Elephas maximus indicus: one gene and its partners. The protein of the gene in region 1 interacts with the protein of each later gene in a pairwise test. Links are inferred from orthologs where the notes say so. Each region holds a gene or a part of one and is shown in the gene's direction. Other genes may lie near its edges.

Region 1 (7,131 bases):
GCTTGAGAAATGCCGAGCATGTTCTTCCCTTTTGGTTTTCTATCTCCAGATCCTTGCTCGTATCATTATAATACTTTACTTTGTCGTCTCGAGCTGCCCTTTGAAATCTTCTGTTCAGGTCTTTTACTTCATCATTTCTTCCTTTTGCTTTAGCTACTCGACGTTCATGAGCAAGCTTCAGAGTCTCTTCTGATATCAAATTTGGTCTTTTCTTTGTCTCCTGTCTTTTTAATGATCTGTTGCTTTCTTCGTGTATGATGTCCTTGATGTCATTCCACAACTCATCTGGTCTTCAGTTACTAGTGCTCAACGTGTCGAATCTATTCTTGAGATGGTCTCAAAATTCAGGTAGGATATAGTCAAGATTGTACTTTAGCTCTTGTCGACTTGTTCAGATCAGGGTAGACCTTTTTATTTCTATTTCACAGATGAAGAGACTGAGGTTCAAAACATTTTTTTTTCCCCCACATCACATAAGTCAAATTGGCAGCCTTGGCCCGATCCTCCCTCCCTCCAGCAGATCCTGACAACAGGAAAGGGACGGGATCGACTTATCTAAAGGGGTCCCTCTGGCTGTTGAAGGGAAAAGAGACAGGAGGGGACAAGCGTGAAAGCAGGGAGCCCAGGGGGAGAAGCTGGGGGCTCAGACCAGGGGCAGTGGCAGAGGGGGAGTTGTTTGGTTCTGGATGAGACCTGAGGGCAGAGCCAGCAGGATTTGTTGGTGGGTTACACATGGGGAACAACTGGACGGTGGGGCTGCCTCTGGCTTCCCATAGACCTTCTTCTCAGTTTTTGCTCAAAACCACCTCCTCAGTGAAGCCTTCCCTGACCCATTTTTAAATTGCACCCCACCCCTTTCACTGGCACCCCTGGGCCCCTTCCTTGGTTTATTACCGCCTGTAGCACTTAACCTCATCTAAATATTTTACTTGCTGATTTGTTTTCCCCACTAGAATGTCAGCTCTTTGAGGACATTTTTGTCTTTTTTTCCAGCTGCTACCTCTCAATGCCTAGCACAATGGCCAACACATAGTAGATGCCGAATAAATAATGTTGAGTACATGAATGAATGACACATGTATGAATACAGTTCTATTTTGATCCAGGGCATCCCAGGAGCCTGCTATGGGGGTGGCTGATTCACATCAATTATTTGTCGTAATCTCTCTAGAGGACCTCAGGCAAGGTGTCTCCTCCACCTCATTTGACCCATCTGCCCATTGGTCTCAATGACCTCCCAGGGCTGACAGTCGGCCAAGGGTGATTTTATGTGGACTCTGAATCCAGAGAACAAGGCCCAGGGCCCCTCCTGGAGTGGGGGTGAGGGTGAAAATGACCCCTGTGTCAGAAAGCCCTGTTGAGCGCTTTTGCCAAAGGTGCTCTATATAAATAGCAGGTGGTTCAATTATTATCCTTCCCTAATCCAGGCAGGTTCCTAATCCTGGGCAGGTTTCTGCGTGTCTGTGTCGTAAAGAATAGTGAGCCAGCAGAGCCTTCTGGAAGCCCAGGCCAGGGAGCTGCCTCCCCTCTGACCTTCCTCAGCACCCCTGGATACAGGTGATGGTCACCTTCATAGTCCCAGCCAGGCCCTGCCCGAAGAGTCAGAACCTTTTCCCTGCCGCCCACCTCAGATGCTGAGGACCTCACCGGTACCCCACTTCCATGCTCCCCTCCCTGACCCATTCTCCACTGGCAGCCAGAGTGGCCTTTTAAACACATAAATCAGGCAATGGCACTCTCCTGCATAAAGTCCTCCAATGGTAATAAATTAGGCTCCTTACCAAGGTCTGCAGGGCTGCCCAGCCCTCCTCACCCTCCACTTGTTCCCCTCCAACCAAGCTGGCCTGTTGCTGTCAGCTGCTGTCAAGATGATTGTGACTCATGGTGACCCCATGTGTGCAAAGTAGAACTGCTCCATGGGGTTTTCTAGGCTGTGACCTTTTGGAAGCAGATCACCAGGCCTGTCTCTCCCAAGGTGCCTCTGGGTGGGCTTGAACTGCCAACCTTTCAGCTAGGAGTTGAGTGCTTAACAACTTGCACCACAAGCCTGGGGCCTTTATATTTGCTATTCCCTCTTCCTGGAACATCTTTCTCCCCCAGTCCTCGGCTTGCTGCCCCTTTATGTGACTCGGCCTCTAGCTTCTGAGGGAGGCCTGACCTGACCACCCTTATCTAAATTAGCTCTCCTCTCACTCTCTCAGCTCAACCTTCTGTTGTTCATTAATTATTTGCACTTGTCTACTTACCTGTCTCCCCTATGAGAATGTAAATTCCTCTTAACAGGGACCTAGTATGGGCTGCTGTTGTATCTTCTACATCCACAGAAATGAAAATTCCCTTGCACTTCAAATGCTGCCCAGAACCCTGTGGGTGCCCAAGGATTGTTGTCAAGCACTTGATTTATCACACACTGATATGGCACTTGGTGTGTGCTGGGCACGGTTTTAAGTGTTTTACAAACATTAATTTGCTAATTCCCACAACAACCTTTAGTCACTACTCATGTTGGCCTCATTTCATACAAGGAAACTGAGGCACAGAAAGGATAAGTTATTTTCCCAAGTCTGCTCATAAGAGGTGGTGGCGGGATTTGAACCCAGGGAGCCTGGCCCATGCTTTCAGTAGCTATACCCTGCCTGCTTCCCTGTCTTAGCATAACAGCAGGACCAAGCATTGGACTAGGAGGCTGGTGGGGAAGGAAGAGAGGATTGTTAGCTTGAGAATCAGGAATTCAAATCTTGTTTCTACTCCAGGCCTTCCTGTGTGGCCTTAGGTAAGTCCACTCCCTCTGTGGGCCTCAATTTGTTTCTGTCTGCAGGGCTGGGCCTCCCCCTGACCGTCTGCTCCCCCGCAACCCGGATTCATTCAGAGCACTTAACTGACTGTTGCCGTTGTCAGTTGTGGTGGAGTCGACTTTGACCCTATACCAAAAACCAAACCCACTGTCGTCGAGTTCATTGCGACTCATAGCGACCCTATAGGACGGAGTAGAACTGCCCCACAGGGTTTTCCAGGAGCGCATGGCGGATTCGAACTACCGAACTCTTGGTTAGTAGGCGTAGCACTTAACCACTACACCACCACAGTTTCCAGCGAACCTATAGGACTGTGTAAAATTGCCCCATAGGATTTCCAAGGACCGCTGGTGCATTCCAACTGCGACCTTTTGGTTACCAGCTGAACTCTCAACCGCTACGCCATGTGGACTCTGTCTTCGCTGCATAGGGAAGCAAAATTGGTTATCTCCGAGCTTATTTCCAACTCAAGAGCCCTCCAATTAGCAGAGGTCCTGGACTCCTTCCCCTCCCAAAGTCCGGAGCCTTCTGCCAGGTGTCCACAGCACTCCCATTCCCCATCACTGACCTGGCTTCCATTGAGAACACAGAGTTCCCTCAAGGAACAAGAGCGCGGGATTGTTTTTTTCACGACAAGGCTCTGTTGTCAGCTTCCAGGCCTCTTCCCTTGCTCTCCTCCTGGCCCCTCATTTTCCTCACTGCCTGTCGTCTTCCCCTTAACTGGAGCCCAGTCCTTCAAGCTCCTCCCAATACACACCCCCGCCAGGGCCTACCCCACTGCCAGACCGAGAGGTACCTGGCCAGAGAACCCACCTCCTCGGGGAGACCCGGACTCTTCCCCTCGCCTGCCTGCCACAGCCCCCCTCCTCGCTCCACTCTCCTTCCAGCGCCTCTTTTCCAGGCGGTACTGAAGTCCTTCCTACACACGCGCTATTTTTGTACCACCACTCACTCCTTCCTCTCCCCCCTCCCCCCACATTCACTTACTTCCTGCTTTTCCTTCACCTCGGTCCAGCTGTGAAAGAATCGGGCCCCTCTCGCCGGCGCCCAACCCCGAAAGGGGCCCTTCAGCTTTGGGGCACAGGGGCAGGGCCACTCGGGGAGGAGCAAAAGCGGCGCCACCTCCGCCCCTACACACCCTCTCGCACACACTCACACACACACCCTTTCGTCGCCCCCAGCCTCTCGCCAGCGGGGAGCTGGGGCTAACTGGGGACTGTCCGCGGCCGGAGTGGAGTCCGGAGGCGAGGGGAGGCCAGCCGCGACTCCCCCAGTCCACCTTAAAAGGACGCTGTCGCCAGCTCGCGGCGCTGACCTTAGAAAAACAAGTTTGCGCAAAGTGGAGCGGGGGGCCCAGCCTCTGGGCAGCCCCCGGCGGCGCGTCCACAGTCTTCCAGCCCGCACAGGCGGCGCAGGTCCGAGCCTGGCAGTGAGTGGAGGCGGCGGGGGGAGCAGGCTGGCTCGGGGCTGGGGGGCGAGCCGCCGGCGCTTCGGAGTTGACCTCAAGCGGGGAGCGCGAGGCCGCGGACCGGCCGGGGGTGCCTCCCCGGCCCGGTGCGCCACGCGGCCCGCGCGCGTTCTCTCCCCCGGGGCGCGCGGCCGGCGGGCGCGCAGGCGGGCGCTCGCGGGAAGGTGCGGAGGGCCGGAGCCCACAACCTCCTCCGGCGGGAAGAGGGAGGAGGAGAGGGAAGGAGGAGGCGGCCGGGCTGCTGGAGGGCGGGGGCAGCGGCCAGGACTCCAGGCCGGAGCGAGCGAGCGACCGGCGCCGCGGAGGAGCCCGGGCGGGGCAAGTGGGCTGCGGCGGGGGCGGCCTGGGCGGCAGTGCCTGCTCCTCGCCGCTGCCCGCCCGTCCTCCTCTCTCCCGCTCTGCCTCGGTCTGCGCGCTGCTTGCTCACTCCTCTCTCTCGCGCGCTCTCCCTCTCTCTCTCCCTCCCTGTCTCTGGCTCTCTGCCTGGCTCCCTTGGGTCTGTTTCTTTACCCCGCCGCCTCTCTACCCGTCTCCGGCTTTATTTCTCGCGCAGTTGGGGTCTCCCCTCTCCGGCTCTCAGTCTCTCCTGGGGGGGTTCTACGAAAATTGCGGCGGGGACGGCGGCTTCTCACCGCCCCGGGCGTCGGTACGGGGAGTGGGCAGCCCGGCCGGGAGGGGAGGCGGAGGGGGAGGAGGGGGGAGCCTTAGTCATTTCCCCGCTCCAGCCCGCGCCCGCCCGAACGCGCACTCACGGCCGCTCTCCCTCCTCGCTCCGCAGCCGGGGCCCATGGAGCCCGCCGGCCCGGCCCCCGGCCGCCTCGGGACGCTGCTCTGTCTGCTGCTCGCCGCGTCCTGCGCCTGGCCAGGTAAGCACCTCCCTGCCCTCCCCAAACTGCAGATTCAGGCCTTTCAGAGTGCCACGCGGAGCTCCTCGGTTAATGTCGATCAGTACTAGGGGGAGAGATGGGCTACAGATGCGAAAACTGAGGCCCAGAGAGGGCCAGCCACTTGCCCAGAGTCACACAGCCAAAGAAAGACAGAACCCAGGTCCCTGCCGCGTAGTCTTGTTTGTCTTGACCCTGACCGTGCCAGCACTGAACTGACCCGGCGCTGAGGCATACCAGATGAGTTGGCTCAGCAGGCACCTGCCCCATGGGGGAAGCAGGCTATCTGTGTTCTCAGAGCAAGGCGCCCTGCTTCTCTAGAAGCTCTCTGGTCCAGGATTTACCCTTTCCACATGTTTGATTTCTGGGTCTGAGAGGGGTCATCCCTAGGCTGCCTGGCATGGAACAGAAACCGGCTGTCAAAAATGCAGGAATAGGGGACTCTGTTACACAGAGTAAACAGCCTTAGTGTATGTGGCGGGGGAGAGAAAGAGAGGAGAGGAGGCTGCTGCAACCCTGGCGTGAGCTGCTGCAAACCACAGATCCTGAAGTGAAAACACCCCAGATTGTCCCTGTGGTTGCCAAAGCTGCCTAGTTGAGCTCCTTGCTCTCCCTTCCTACCACTTTCCTTCCCATGGGCTCCCTACTTCCTCCTGCCTTCCCCAGCTTCTCGGCAGCTCCCTGCAGCTCAGGTGCTCTGTGGGGCTGTTACCTGTGGCTCTGAGCATGTCTTTTTGTTGGCCTACATCAAACACCTAGCTGTCACCAGCAGACGGGCTCTGAAGGCTACTGTGTGTGTATTCGCCAAGAGGTGAGGTCACCATTCACGAGTCCCGCTTCTTAAAGGGGTTTTGCAAAACACCAGGTCTCCTGGGAGGGTGTGGGGTTCAGACAACTGGGCATGTAAGGGAGCGGGGGCAGAATGGAGATCTCTGTGTTGGCAGAGAAGTTTCTGTACCTCCTACCCTCCAGGAGGGAGGTAAGGATGAGCTCAGTATCTGCTTTTCCCCCCCTACCCCCCACCCCGCATTTGCCTGGAGACTGGTAACCATCAGATAGCAGGGAAAAAGGGAGAACTAGCAAAGAGTGGGTGGAGGGAGAAGTGGCGGTGGACAACAGCTTCTCTCTGCCCTGCAGTTTCGCCTGAACCTTGGGAATCCACATGGGTACCCCCTCTATCCCCTCCCCCCTCCCCAGCTCTTTCAGTTCCAGTTGGGTCCTTGCTGGGTGGGAGGAAAACCCAAACCAAACCCAGTGCCATCAAGTTGATTTCGACTCATAGCAACCCTACAGGAGAGAGTAGAACTGCCCTGTAGAGTTTCCAAGGAGCGCCTGGCGGATTCGAACTGCCCACCCCCTTTGGTTAGCAGCTGTAGCACTTAACCACTGTGCCACCAGGGTGGGAGGAAGTACTGATATATTTCATGTCTTCAGTGAGTGGTATCTCCAATCTGCTCCTTCCTGCCTGAACTGGTCATTTGCCCCCTGCGAAAGTCCGAGTTCCTGCTCTGGAAATGCATAAGCTTCTCTCACCAGTGCTTAATTTTCCTGAAGCTGGGAACTGGGCCCAAGTTAATTTCTAAATGTCTATTCCAGACCCTTCTCCGACTAGACCCTGTGGTTCAGTCCTTGGCAAATGAGCGGTGGTGCTGATTAACAAGTGTTCAGACGGGCAACCTGCCTTTCCAGGGGTGCTGGCTGGGAACACCACCACCCTTCTTGTGAGCAAGTCTCCCCCTTGTGCCTATAAAAACAATCTATAAAATGGTAAAGATTAGGCCATAAAACTTCTGTTCCAATCCATTCAGCATCAATAGCCTGAAAAAGTGGGAGCAGCAGAGGGGCCGAAATTAACTTTGCAATAAATCAATCTTGGGCGGTAAGCATGAATTTCCTAGTTGAGGGTGGTGGGGAGGGGAGGACGTTTCACCTTTGTAGCTCACGCCTCCCAGCAACCTTCACCCTGTTCTGCAGGGTCCTGTTG
Region 2 (6,351 bases), on another chromosome or scaffold:
CGTGACAGCCCCCCCACTGCTGCCTGTGGCTGTGGTCCAGGCCATCTTGGAAGGGAAGGGGAGCTTCAGCCCTGAGGGGCCCAGGAATGCCCAGCAGCCTGAACCAAGGGGCCCCAGGGAGGTCCCTGACAGGTAAGCATAGCCTGTTTGTGACTGCGAACCCCATGTGGGCTACTTTTGCAGACAGAGCAGCACTTACCAGCTGGAGAAACTTTCCAACCTTCTCTGCCCCTTGGTGGCCCAGGGGAAGGTTAGGCACTTTGTCCATGATCCTGACCTGACTTCCCAGAGAGTGCTCCAAGGAGCACCGGCATCAGAGTCCCCTGGAAAGTTGGAAGCTTATTAAAATACAGAATTTCTGGCTCCTGTTCAGGTCAATCAACATCTCTGTGGAAGGACTCAGGAATTTGCATTTTAAACAAGTTCACTGAGGTGATCGTGATGTGCACAATAGTTTAAGAACCACTGGTATTGACACTTGCAGCATAGGGAGGGGACATTTCCCAAGACCCCGGCCCCACAACCCAAACCTCAGGCCCCAGGTAGGAGACCGAAGTACTCTCTATGAGTCCCTTGGAGACTCCTGTCCTAGTGTTTTCTAGGGTGGGGGTGGGGGAACCTAATGAGGGGATGGGTGGGCTCTGCAGGCCAACAACAGTTCTTTGTGCACAGGGAGTCTCTGGGCCTGGAGCGGGGGAGCCAAAGCCCAGAGGGTCTACTGCCTCCAATGCTCCTTCGGGGTACCCCAGAAAGTCTGGAGCCTGCAGGGCCCCTGGATGTGAGTACCCCTCCAGCCTGGGGCAGGGGCATAGGGTCCAGTAGGGCCTAGCTCTCTGTGCAGCTTGGGGAGGGCACCACTGACCCCAAGCTCCCCTCAGGTGCTGGGCCCCAGCCTCTCAAGTCGAGAGTGGACCCTGATGGACTTGGACATGGAGCTGTCCCTGGTAAGACAGGGGTGAGATTGGAAGACAAGGGCCTAGGGACTGCTGAATCAAGCCCTGTGGTCCATGGCTACTGCTCTCTCTGAGCCAAAGGCATGGCTGAGGAGGACTGCCCCAGAGTCCAGAGGATTCCCCAGCTCTCCTCTTTAGATCCCAGCACTCCCCTCCCCCCGCCCCACAGCTGCTTCCTGGGGTTCTCCCATGCAGATGCAGCCCTTGATTCCAGAGAGAGGTGCCGCTGAGCTGTCAGTCAAGGGGTTAAATTCACAGGGCCCAGGTAATGGTTGGGGTGACTCAGGGCCTGGGGGGAGGTCATGATTACTCTGAGTGATCATGATTTGGTGACTGGGCAAGTCTGTGTTTTGGAGGAAAGCCTTCTGAATTCAGGCTGTTCTGTAGAGAGAGACCCCAGCCACCCACCCACTCATCACTGGGTGAGAGTGGGGAGACTGTGAATAGATGTCCCATCCTAACTGTACCGAGGGCAGGGCGGGCAGGGAGGGCAGGGCGGTCCTTCTCCAAAGAAAGGAGGCGAATCTTTTTTTTTTTGTCTGCTGAGCTTGCCTCCACTCTTCCTAGGCAAGGATCCCACGCCCGGGAGGCCGCTCCTGCTGGATGTTCCGGCGGGTTTGGGAGGCCCAGCCCTCGGCCTGCCTGGGGCTTTAACCATTTATGGCACCCCCGAGAGCCGGGCCTCCTACCTGGGCCCAGGAACCAGTCCCTCTCCTTGAGAGCCCCTGCCTTCTGGAGCTGGCTGGGCCGAGGGACTGGTCCCAGGCAGCACGCCCCTCTCGGCTTCCTGGCGCCCCCTGGCGGAGGCTGAGCGAAGCCCGCGCTACTCGGCGGCCGCTCTCCATTCCCCCGCCTAGCCCTGCATATAAAACTGCATTTTTCTCAGTTTCTGGCCTCTTTTCTCTACCGACCAGGAAGCACAGAAGTCGTAGGTGGGGGGCGACTTTGCACTCGTAGAAGCGTCCAGATCTTAGGGTTTTAATAGAGGAACCCCCGATGCGGGTGTAGGTGCTTGGGGAGCCCGCCTCTAGCCCTCCTACCTAGGCCCTGATCCTGAGCTGATGAGCAATCGCTGAGACCTCCGGGAAGCGGGGTTTCTGGGTCAGACCCGACTCCGCAATGCATACGCTGTGTGACCCTAGACTGTTTTCTCTGAGCATCATCTGTGACACACAGAGAGGAGCGGTCGAGGAGAATATTGGTGTAAAGTGGGCCCTGGGCACGTGGGGCCGCGGGCCGAACTGTCCCTCCCCCTACCCCCCTCTGACTCATCTCCGGGCGCACACCCGGTGGGGAGAGAAAACAGACTACCGGCTCCCAGCAGCCCTGGCCGCCCCGCCCCCGGCGCAGCTGTTGTCCTCCCCCTCCCCGCGGCCCAGCATTTTCTGCACTGTCATCTCCTGCGTGACTGAGGCTCGACCCGTGAGTGGGGCCGCCCTGAGCGGACGGGACGGGGAGCCCCACCCCACTCAGCTGGAGGGAGGGAAGAGAAACTGAGATTAGGCTCTGAGGAGGTCGGTGAGCCCCGCCCCTCCGCAAGACTCTTAAACCCAGGGACTGGGTGGAGGAGAGGTAAGGGCATCCTTGCCGGCGCACATGCGCAAAGGCTCCCGCCGTTTCCCCAAGACCCTCGCTTGCAAGAGTATGCGCCGGGGCGAGGGAGGAACCGGGACCCTGCTGCTCTGCTTGCGCCTGGGGTCGCTTGGCGCTCCGGGAATAATCTGGCCTAGGATCTTGAAGGGCTGGCTCTGAGGCCAAAGGGCAGCGAGGTAGCTTCGGTGTTTCCTTCTGAGCAGTGAGGGCTATAGAGGAAGGGCTCCGACCAGAGGGGTCTCTGCTTCCCAGACAGGACAAAGGGCAGGACTTGGGGTAATGGGAGGAGGAGGCTAATAGGAAGGAGGGCAGGCCAGTCCAATCGCACCCTCCCTCCCTGTCCAGGGTAGATGCTGATCCCCTCTTCTCACTCCCCCAATGATTGAGGTCCGTCATTGGAAGCCCTCAGCTGAAGAGGGCAGAGGGTCTTCCTGTCACACAGTTCAGCGATGTCAGTTAACTAACTACACAGTGGTGGGGGTATATGGTGTTCCCTGGTGCTCGCAGAAGGAACCAATCGGCCTTTGGGAGACTTAGCACTGGAGTGGATAAGGGAACATTTGAGTCTTGGAAAATAGGTTCACCAGGTGGAGGGAGGGAAAAGGCATTCCAGACTTAAGGAACATCTGCACAGGCTCAGACGTGCCAGGGGCTTGGCAAGTTCTGGGAGCACTGAGTGGAAGAGGGAAGTGGGGAAAGGCCTAGCTCTGTGTGTGGGGGGTGGGGGAGTAGCTAGAGCAGCCAGGCCAGGTGGTCTGGTCTCTCTCTGATGAGCAGTGGAAGGTGGACAGCAGGTGGTTAGGGCTGACTTTCTGCCAGGCATTCAGGCTACATACAGCAAGTCAGATTCCAGCTCTGCCACTTGCTCTCTCTGTGCCTCTCTCATCTGTAAAACGGGAATGATAAATCCTAGGCTGTGGGGGTGACAGAGTGGGAGTGAGGTGCCCAGAGGGGCTGTTACAGGAAATGAGGCAATGATGGTGGGGCTGGGGGTGGGGGTGGCTGATAGAGACTCACTGAGAGATGGAGCAACAACACTTGTCATGGTTGAGACCGGAAGGGGGAGATGGGTAGTCCTAGTCTCTCTTCAGTGGCCTAGGGGAGGAGCTGACACTTCCATATGGCTAAGAGGGGTTAAATGATCAGCGGAGGCATTGGAGACAGTATAATACCAGGGGCTGGAGGGAGAGACCTGTAAGGCAGGATGGGGGCTAGGACCAAATTCTCTCTTCCCAACAAGGCCCAGATGCCTAGAACAAGGTAGAGGAGGGACCTCAAAGGGAGAAGGAGACCGGGGGGTGGGTGGCGACGAAACCAAGACAGGGAGGAAAACAGTAAAAGTTTGGGAAACATTTATCGGTAGCTTTTATCTGCTGGTCCCCGGAGATGCCAAGAAGCAAAGATGTCTGTGAGTCACTCCCAGACCAGTGGGGAGACAGTTGTGTCTCAGGTGATGTCAGGAAATCATGGTCAGAGCTGGGACTCAAGAGGATTCAGGTATTCCTGCTCAGGTATCAGGGAACCAGGAAGGACTAGGAGACCACATTGGGGGTTGCACCACAGTGGTGGTGTGGTGGGGGGCAGTGCAGGGGCTGGGCCTGGTCTGGAAAGATGACCTCAAGGTCAGAGTAAGGGCTCTGGACTTCTTCCAGCAAGTGAAAAGACTTTGGGTTTTGAATGCAGAGGGGAGAGTATGGAGGCAGAGAGCCCGGAGGGAGGATTCTGAAGAGACCAGACAAAGTAAGTGGTGGAGATGAGGAGATATTCAGCAGAGTGGAAAGGACCTGACAGAGAGCTGGGTGTGGGGTATCTGGGGTCAATCCTAGGTCTTTCTGTCTGTTGAAGCGGAGAAGCAAGTTTGGGAAAGAGAAAGGGGTCAGTTTGGATAAACTGGGTCTGAACCGATGGCGAGATTTGCGGCGGCGGCGGCGGAGGGTGGTGGGGAGCGCAGGTGGCTGGGGTTCAGGAAGTCCCGGTTGGGGAGAGAGGTGAGCGAGGCCACAGGTGACATTTAGAGAAACGGAAGAAGGGACAGGACAAAGCGGCCCAAAAGGCAGGAAGACAAGGAGCTCAATGCAGTGGCCTCCAGGTCCCGCGCAGCTGACGAACCTGGCTAGTCAAGGTCAAGGTGAATTTTGGCCCCAGCCTTGGCAGTTCACTGGAGCCCCGGGAGAGAGGTGAGGGGCGGGGGACCCCTGGCGCCCATTACCCCTCTCCCCCGTCACCATGCAGCCTGGACCATGGGCAACGCGCAGGAGCGGCCGTCGGAGACGATCGACCGCGAACGGAAACGCCTGGTAGAGACACTGCAGGCAGACTCCGGGCTGCTGCTGGACGCATTGCTGGCGCGGGGCGTGCTCACTGGGGCGGAGTACGAGGCGTTGGACGCTCTGCCTGATGCCGAGCGCAGGATGCGCCGGCTGTTGCTGCTGGTGCAGAGCAAGGGCGAGATCGCCTGCAACGAGCTACTGAGCTGTGCTCAGCGTACCGCGCGCGCACCTGACCCGGCTTGGGACTGGCAGCACGTGGGCCCTGGTGAGAGCTCGTGGGGCCGGGCCTAGGGCAGAGCAGGGGGCGGGGCGCGACCCGGGGGCGGGGCAAAAGCTAAGCCGGGGCCGGAGTTGTCTTCCAATGAGGAGTACCAGTGGCTGCAGAGGAAAGAGAGAAAGGGTAAATTGAGCCTGAGACACGCCCACCTCCGCCCCAGGTTACCGGGACCGCAGCTACGACCCTCCGTGCCCGGGCCACTGGATGCCTGAGACACCCGACTCGGGGACGGCATGCCCCGGACTGCCCAGAACTTCTGGCTGGGATGAGGCTGGGGGTCTCGAGGGCTCCGAAGCGGTGCAATCCCGGATCTCCGAGGACCCCAAGCCGGAGCTGGAAGCCGAGGCTTCTGAAGGGGCTGAGCTGGACCCAGAGCCCCAAATGAATCCGGAACCTGAACCAGAGGCAGAACCAGAGCCTGAATTGGAGCAAGAGCCCGACCCAGAGCCGGATCTTGACTGTGAGCCAGCGGATGAGTCCGAAGGTGTGGGACTGCCTAACCCGATGCCTGGCTGGTAGGAGGGCGTGGACTGGGAAGTGGAGGGCGGGCCCCACCTCACTGTCCACTCTCCCACATTACCTTGTGGATTCTAGATTCCTGAGGACCAGACCGCTGACCAGCCGTTTCCCACTGAAACCGGAAGGGACCTGGGATCGTGCCTAGGCTTGGTCGATGCCACTGAGACTCCTTGTGGCCGAGTGCCGCTGGAAGTAATAAACCCTGGAGGGTCGGCCTGGGCTCTCTCCATCATTCTGGCTCTATGCCCAGGAACTGGGGGTGGGCAAGCCTGGGTACCTGGGTACCAGTGGTTTGGGCAGCCCTGTGCCCCTCCCCCCCCCGAGTTTTTAGCCTCATTCCCACCCTCAATAGCCCAAGCGGCACCCTTAGAGATTGCAGACCCAGAGCTCCAGTGGGACAAAGGCCTGCCCCCTGCTCCACAGCACTTTCCCCCTCATGGGCCATTTAAGGACCTGTGTAGGCACCAGCCCTGCTCCATGGAAGTCCCTGGGCTTGATGCAAAGAGCAAGGGAAGCGGGACTGCTCTCTGCTTAGGGAATGCTTAGCGATCAGAGCCTTAGAAAGTGAGATTAGAAAAGAGGAGCAGGATGGAATCTTGGGTAGACAAAGCCCACACACTTCACTGTAAATGCTGTTTTAATTGTCTGGCTTTCCCCTGCACTGGGAGTTCAGTGAGAGTTCTGACCAGTAATTGGCACACAGAAGGTGCTCTAGACATACTCATTGACTAAATGAATA
Region 3 (7,405 bases), on another chromosome or scaffold:
CTGAGAGCTGCAGGCCCAACCCCCCAGGTGATGGCCTTTTGGCCTTCCTCTTCCCTTGTTTGCGCCATGGATGATGGAACCAGCTGACGTGTGTCGACATCGCTGTGCTGGGCAGTACAATACTTCGGTTTGCTTGTCGGTAAACAGGGGCAAGTTACAGAACTGTCTTAGTTACCTAGAGCTGCTGTAACCCAAATGCCACAAGTACAGAAATTTGTTTTCTCACAGTTCTGGAGGCTGAAAGTCCAAATCAGGGTCTGGGCTCGCAGATGATCCTCACGTGGTGTCTATTTTCCCCTGTGTGTCTCTGTGTCTATTTTGCTCTTTTTATGAGACACCCCTCAGATTAGGTTTAGGACTCACCCTATGCTGGTGTGCCTTCGTTAACATGACAAAAGAAAACCCCTTATTCCCAAACAGGGTCATATTTAAGGTTAGCAGCGTTGTGCACGGGGTCACCCTGGGTCGGGGTCCTCCCCTTAGTTTTCTAGTGCTGCTATAACAGAAATACCACAAGTGAATTGCTTTAACAAAGGAAAATTTATTCTCTTGCAGTTTAGGAGACTAGAAGTCCAGTTTCAGGGCAACAGATCCAGGAGAAGGCTTTCTCTCTCTGTCGGCTCTGGGGGAAGGTCCTTGTCATCAATCTTCCCCCGGGTCTAGAAGCTTCTCAGCACAAGGACCTCGGGTCCAAAAGACATGCTCCCCTCCTGGTCCTTCATTCTTGGTGGCAAGAGGTCCCCCTGTCTCTCTGCTGGCTTCTCTCTTTAATGTCTCAAAAGGCATTGACTCAAGACACAGCCTAACCTTGTAGATTGACTCCTGCCTCATTAACATCATAGAAGTAGGATTTTCAACACATGGGAAGGTCCTAGCCATTAATGAGCTGAAATGGACTGGTATTGGCCATTTTGAATTGGACAATCATATGGTCTACTATGCCAGGAATGACAAAGAGGAATTGTGTTGCATTCACCATGAAAAAGAACATTACATTATCTATCCTGAAGTACAATGCTGTCAGTGATAGGATAATATCCATATGCCTATAAGGAAGACCAGTTAATAGGACTATTATTCAAATTTACACACCAACCACTGAGGCCAAAAATGAAGAAATTGAAGATTTTTACCAGCTTTTGCAGTCTGAAATTGATCGAACAGGCAACCAAGATGCATTGATAGTTACTGGAGATTGGAATTCAAAAGTCAGAAACAAAGAAGAAGGATTGGTACTTGAAAAATATGACCTTGGTGATAGAAATGATGTTGGAGATCACATGACAGAATTTTGCTAGACCAATGACTTCTTCATTGCAAATACCGTTTTTTCACCAATATAAATGGCAACTATACACATGGCCTTCTCCAGGTGGAATACACAGGAATCAAATCGACTACATCTGTGGAAAGAGACAATAGAAAAGCTCAATATCATCAGTCAAAACAAGACCAGGGGCTGACTGTGGAACAGACCATCAGTTGCTCATATGCAAGTTCAAGGTGAAACTGAAGAAAATTAGAACAAGTTGACGAGAGCCAAAGTATGACCTTGAGTATATCCCACCTGAATTTAGAGACCATCTCAAGAACAGATTTGATGTGTTGAACACTCGTGACCAAAAGACCAGACGAGTTGTGTGGAACGACATCAAGGATATCATACATGAAGAAAGCAACAGGTCATTAAAAAGACAGGAAAGAAAGAAAAGACCAAGATGGACGTCAGAAGAGACTCCGAAACTTGCTTTTGAACGTTGAGTAGCTAAAGCGAAAGGAAGAAATGATGAAGTAAAAGAGTTGAACAGAAGATTTCAAAGGGCAGCTCTAGAAGACAAAGTAAAGTATTATAATGACATGTGGAAAGAGCTGGAGATGGAAAACCAAAAGGCAAGAACGCTTTCTGCATTTATCAAATTGAAAGAACTGAAAAAAAAATTAAAGCCTTCAGTTGCAATATTGAAGGATTCAATGGGGAAAATATCAAATGACTCAGGAAGCATCAAAAGAAGATAGAAGAAATACACAGTCATTATACCAGAAAGAATTGGTTGATGTTCAACCATTTCAGGAAGTACCATATAAGCAGGAACCAATGGTACTGAAGGAAGAAATCCAAGTTGCACTGAAGGCATGGGTGAAAAACAAGGCTCCAGGAATTGATGGAATACCAACTGAAAAGTTTCAACAAACGGATACAGCACTGGAAGTACACACTTGTCTATGCCAAGAAATTTGGAAGACAACTACCTGGCCAGCCAACAGGAAGAGATCCATATTTGTGCCCATTCCAAAGAAAGGAGATCCAGCAGAACGTGAAAATTATTGAACAATATCATTTATGTCACACTGCAAAAAAAAAAAAAAAAAACTGGGTGTTTTTTTTGCAAGTAAAATTCTGCTGAAGATAATTCAAAAATGGCTACAGCAGTACATTGACAGGGAACTGCCAGAAATTCAAGCTGGATTCAGAAGAGGATATGGAACAAGGGATATCATTGCTGATGTCAGATGGATCCTACCTGTAAAGCAGAGAATACCAGAAATATTACCTGTGTTTTATTGACTATGCAAAGTTTTTTGTCTGTGTGGATCATAACAGAGTATGAATAACATTGCAAAGAATGGGAATTCCAGAGCACTGAATTGTGCTCATGCAGAACCTGTACAGAGACTAAGAGGCAGCTGATGGAACAGAACAAGGGGAGACTGCATGGTTTAAAGTCAGGAAAGGGGTGTGTCAGGGTTATATCCTTTCACCATACCTATTCAGTCTGTATGCTGAGCAAATAATACGAGAAGCTGGAGGAAGACTCATTAACAACCTGCCTTATGCAGATGACACAACCTTGCTTGCTGAAAGTGATGAGGACTTGAAGCACTTACTGATGAAGATCGAAGACCACAGCCTTCAGTATGGATTACACCTCAACATAAAGAAAACAAAAATCCCCACAACTGGACCAATAAGCAACATCATGATAAATGGAGAAAAGATTGAAGCTGTCAAGGATTTAATTTTACTTGGGTCCACAATCAACAGCCATGGAAGCAGCAGTCAAGAAATCAAAAGACGCATTGCATTGGGCAAATCTGCTGCAAAGGACCTCTTCAAAGTGCTGAAGAGCAAAGATGTCACCCTGAAGACTATGGTGCTCATGACCCAAACCATGGTGTTTTCAACCCCCTTCTATGCAGGTGAAAGCTGGACAATGAATAAAGAAGACTGAAGAAGAGTTGATACCTCTGAATTGTGTTGGTGAAGAATCTTGAATATACCATGGACTGCCAAAAGGATGAACAAATCTATCTTAGAAGAAGTACAGCCAGAATGCTCCTTAGAAGCACGGATGGCAAGGCTGTGTCTCACATACTTTGGTCATGTTGTCAAGAGGGATCAGTCCCTGGAGAAGGACATCATGCTTGGTAAAATAGAGGGTTGGCGAAAAAGAGGAAGACCCTAAATGAGATGAATTGACACAGTGGCTGCAACAGAGGGTTTAAGCAGAATGATTGTGAGGATGGTGCAGGACTGGGCAGTGTTTCATTCATAGGGTCTCTATGAGTCAGAACTGACTTGATGGCACCTAACAACAGGGAGATCACAGCAGATGACAAAATGGTGAACAATGACATGATACTGGGAATCATGGCCTAGCCAAGTTGACAAACATTTTTGGGGGACACAATTCAATCTATAACATCCTCGACCAAGTCAGACTGGGATTAGAACTCAGGAATCGAGGTCCCGGAGCCCAAGTTCTTGGTCAGCCAGCTGTGAAGCTTGAGGGCCTGGCACCCTTGGCTGGGCTGCAGGGATGGTCACAGTCACCACAGGGTCAGGGAGTGTGCAGAGCTCTCGTCGACCCCACTTCGCAGGTTGGCCCCACTGAGGCACGCAGGGCCAGGACGCAGACCCCGACCCACGGAAGGGGCGCTGTCCCCTCTGCCGGGACCTCATTGCCACCGAGGGCTGTGTCCGCTCCGTGGGATCTCCCGGCCCCAGGCCTGGGCTCACTGCGGGACATGGACTTGGCCCCCGATGTGCTGTGGCTCTGGGGGCCGGGCCGGGGCGAGGTAGCGCGGGCACCCTTTGGTGCACCCGGTCCTGGAGCGGACCCGGCGACCAGCGGCCGCTCCCCTCGAACAGGAGCTCTGTCCTGAGGGGCCCACGGACTGGTGCGGAAGCCGGCCCGGGCTAAGTGTACGAGGCAGCAGGCCGGGGGAGCCGGGCAGGCTGTCGCCCAGGCCCTTTTCCCGGGACTCCTCTTCGTTGTTTTGAGTGGCGGCGGCCGCGAGCCGGAACCCGGAGCCGGGGTTCGCGTTTCCGCCCGGCGGAGCCCAGCGGCGCACGGAGCGCGCCCGGCCGCGGCCGAAGGACCGAGTCGTCATGGCAACGCGGGGGGACTGGCGGCAGCGGCGGACAGAAGATCCCGGTGAGCCGCGGCGCGGGGACGGGGAGGAGCGGGGCTTGGCGACCCGGACGCGGCGGAGAGACAGGGTCGCCGGGGCGGGTAACGTGCGAGGACCGCGTCCTCGGCCTGCAGATCGCCGCCTGCTGGCCACACTCTGTGCAGAAGCCCGTGACCTCCACGTCTCGGGGGACATCGCTCCTCAGGAACGCGGTGTCCGACGGTGACCGCCCCGGCGCGGCCGGGCTCGGGCTCGGGGTCCGCCGGCGCGGCCGGGCTCGGGCTCGGGGTCCGCCGGCGCGGCCGGGCTCGGGCTCGGGGTCCGCCGGCGCGGCCGGGCTCGGGCTCGGGGTCCGCCGGCGCGGCCGGGCTCGGGCTCGGGGTCCGCCGGCGCGGCCGGGCTCGGGCTCGGGGTCCGCCGGCGCGGCCAGGCGCGGCCCGGACAGTTCTTCACCCTCACCTGTGAAGTGGGGACATAGTATCAGCTAGAATGCTGGAACATTCTGGTTCTAGTCGGTCTTACTGCTTTGGACATGTTGTCGGGAGGGACCTGTCCCTGGAGAAGGACATCACACTTGGGAAAGTGGAGGGTCAGCAAAAAAGAGACTCTCAACGAGAAGGATTGACACAGTGGCTGCAACAGTGGGCTCGGACGTAGCAGCGATTGTGGGCATAGCGCAGGACCGGGCAGTGTTTCCTTTTGTGCACAGGGTCGCTGTGAGTCGGAACCGACTGCAAGGCCTGGAACAACAACAGCAGAATGCTGGAACAGCGCGGGTCCACCCGAGCGCCCCGGAAGCTCACTGACTGCTGTTTGCCCTTCTTCCCCCTCTCTGCTCCCAGTGGTAGACGACACTGCTATTACTTCCTGGGTTGATGAAGTGCGGGTGGAAGGATGGGAACCTGGCACCGAAGCTTCCTGCTATAGTGCTTTGTGTTTTGTCGTTATTTGGGGAAAAAAAAAACAAACCCAATAACCTGATGGCAGGGCATGGTTATTGCCTTTTTACAGACGATGAAGGTGCCACACACAGAAATAAGATCATTTGCCCAAGTTCTACAGCCAGTAAAGGGGGCCAACCCTAGGCAGTCTGGCTCCAGAGTCTGACCCACCCCCCCCCCCCCCCCCAGTTATTTAGGACCTACAGAAAAGTTGCAAAAATAGTACAAAGAATTTCTGAGCACTTTTCAAGCAGTTTCCTAAAAAATGTTAACTTCTTACACAGTTCACGTACCAAAAGTCAGGAAATTAACATTGATATCAGGCGGTAGGAAACCCTGGTGGTGTAGTGGTTAAGTGCTACCGCTGCTAACCAAAAGGTCGGCAGTTTGAATCCACCAGGTGCTCTTTGGATATTCCACGGAGGCAGTTCTGTTCTGTCCTATAGGGTCGCGATGAGTCTGAGTCGACTCGAAGGCGAGGGGTACCAGGCTGTATTCAAACTTAGCAGCTATCTCTGTGAGGACTTCACTCTGACCCAGGATCCAGTCCAGGACCCTGCATTGCTTTTGTGGTGGTGGTGGTGGTGGCTGGTTGTTGCCATCGAGTTTCTCCGACTCAGGGTTACCTTAGGCACAACGGAACGGAACGTCACCTGGTCCCGCACCACGTTGACCATCGTTGGTGTGTTTGAGTCCGTTGTTGTGGCTGCGCCTTGCGTTTAGCTGCTGTGTTTTCTTCGCCTTCTTCAATCGGCAGCCTTTCCTCGGCCTCTGTGTCTTTCACAACCCTGACACATTTGCAGAGCTCTAGCTAGCAATTTTGTAGGATGCCCCTTGGTTTCAGTTTCCTTTGATGTAAGGAAATCTCAAAAGCGAAGCAGTGTTTTTCTCAGTGTAGCTTGTCAGGAGGCCTGTGACACTGACTGGTCCCATTCGTGGTGATGCTGACTTCGATCACTTGGTGTGAGCGCGTCTGCCAGGCCTCTCCACTGTACAGTTGCTGTTCTCTCTTGTAAATGATAAATATATCTGTGAGGGAATATTTTGAGACTATGGAAGTATCTTGTTTCACGCTGTTCTTCCTACCATTAGCTTTAGCATCATGAGCTGAGTTTTGCCTGAAGCAGCTGTTAATGTATATCTGTCTATTCCATATTCGTTCTACATTTGTAATTTGAAATTCTACTGTAAGGTCACTATGAGTCGGAACTGACTCCATGGTACCTAACAACAACTGTAAGGAAGAACCTTCCCGTCTCCCCCATTTATCTATTTATTCATTTATTTTTGTGTATTGGTGTATTTTTTATATATTCATATATTAAAAAAAAAAAAAAAACCCATTGCTGTTGAGTGGTGACCCTGTAGGTCAGAGTAGAGCTGCCCCATAGGGTTTCCAAGGAGCGGCTGGTGGAGTTGAACTGCTGGTCTTTTGGTTAACAGCCGAGCTCTTAACCACAGGGTCACCAGGGCTCCAGCTATTCGTATATTAGTCTATGTATTTTGTGTAGGGTATGTGTACTAGTCCGTAACTCATGGATTGTGATTTTATTCCATGGGTTGTAATCTAGTACTATCATTGATTTTGTTGGTTGGATTGTCCCATATTTGGCCATTGGGAGCCCTTCAGGTTGGCCTCTGGGTCCTCTTCCGGAGCACTTCTTTACTTTCTGGTACCACAGATGTCCCAGGCTCATCTTGTGCTCTCCTGGACTAGCCCTGGAATCAGCTATTCTCTAGTTCCTTTTAGTTGAGGACGGTGTTTAGACATCTGGGTACTGGGTGTGCTCGCTGCTTCTGGGGTGTCATTGCTCCTTGGCCTTCTCAAGGGACAGAGCAGGGAAATACATCTTTGTATATATCATACACACCTGTCTATTTCTACATCTGTGTACCTATGAATTTGCACTGACACCTTCAGTTCCCATCCATTACCACAGGGCTTGTGCTACTTTCCCTTGCCTGGTTTGTGATCCTTTCTCTGAGCCTGGCTCCCATTGTCCTGGATATATTTACTGATTTTCTTGGTCCTAGAACATGCACAAAGTAGT

The links.
Region 2: the proteins of tyrosine-protein phosphatase non-receptor type substrate 1-like (region 1) and NOL3 interact in a two-hybrid assay, tested with the Homo sapiens proteins (2 studies listed by BioGRID and IntAct). The two-hybrid records come from large-scale screens. The link is inferred for Elephas maximus indicus from reciprocal best matches to the Homo sapiens genes SIRPA and NOL3.
Region 3: the proteins of tyrosine-protein phosphatase non-receptor type substrate 1-like (region 1) and CCDC57 interact in a two-hybrid assay, tested with the Homo sapiens proteins (2 studies listed by BioGRID). The two-hybrid records come from large-scale screens. The link is inferred for Elephas maximus indicus from reciprocal best matches to the Homo sapiens genes SIRPA and CCDC57.

What each region holds. Positions count from the first base shown.
Region 1 is NC_064843.1:40,315,712-40,322,842, forward strand, and holds the start of tyrosine-protein phosphatase non-receptor type substrate 1-like, read left to right. Parts: upstream 1-4,909; intron 4,910-5,015; coding exon of another isoform or gene 5,016-5,050; coding exon 5,051-5,129; intron 5,130-7,131. Other genes in the region: translation initiation factor IF-2-like, read right to left, coding at 3,783-4,685, 5,016-5,052. UniProt on the Homo sapiens protein: Immunoglobulin-like cell surface receptor for CD47. Acts as docking protein and induces translocation of PTPN6, PTPN11 and other binding partners from the cytosol to the plasma membrane.
Region 2 is NC_064839.1:33,580,331-33,586,681, forward strand, and holds NOL3 (nucleolar protein 3), read left to right. Parts: upstream 1-4,514; 5' UTR 4,515-4,619; coding exon 4,620-4,674; intron 4,675-4,778; coding exon 4,779-5,081; intron 5,082-5,253; coding exon 5,254-5,612; 3' UTR 5,613-5,687; coding exon of another isoform or gene 5,688-5,695; 3' UTR 5,696-5,847; downstream 5,848-6,351. Other genes in the region: HSF4 (heat shock factor protein 4), read left to right, coding at 1-132, 673-778, 879-944, 1,149-1,218, 1,521-1,672.
Region 3 is NC_064837.1:72,005,920-72,013,324, reverse strand, and holds the start of CCDC57 (coiled-coil domain-containing protein 57), read left to right. Parts: upstream 1-4,326; 5' UTR 4,327-4,390; coding exon 4,391-4,436; intron 4,437-7,405. UniProt on the Homo sapiens protein: Pleiotropic regulator of centriole duplication, mitosis, and ciliogenesis. Critical interface between centrosome and microtubule-mediated cellular processes. Centriole duplication protein required for recruitment of CEP63, CEP152, and PLK4 to the centrosome.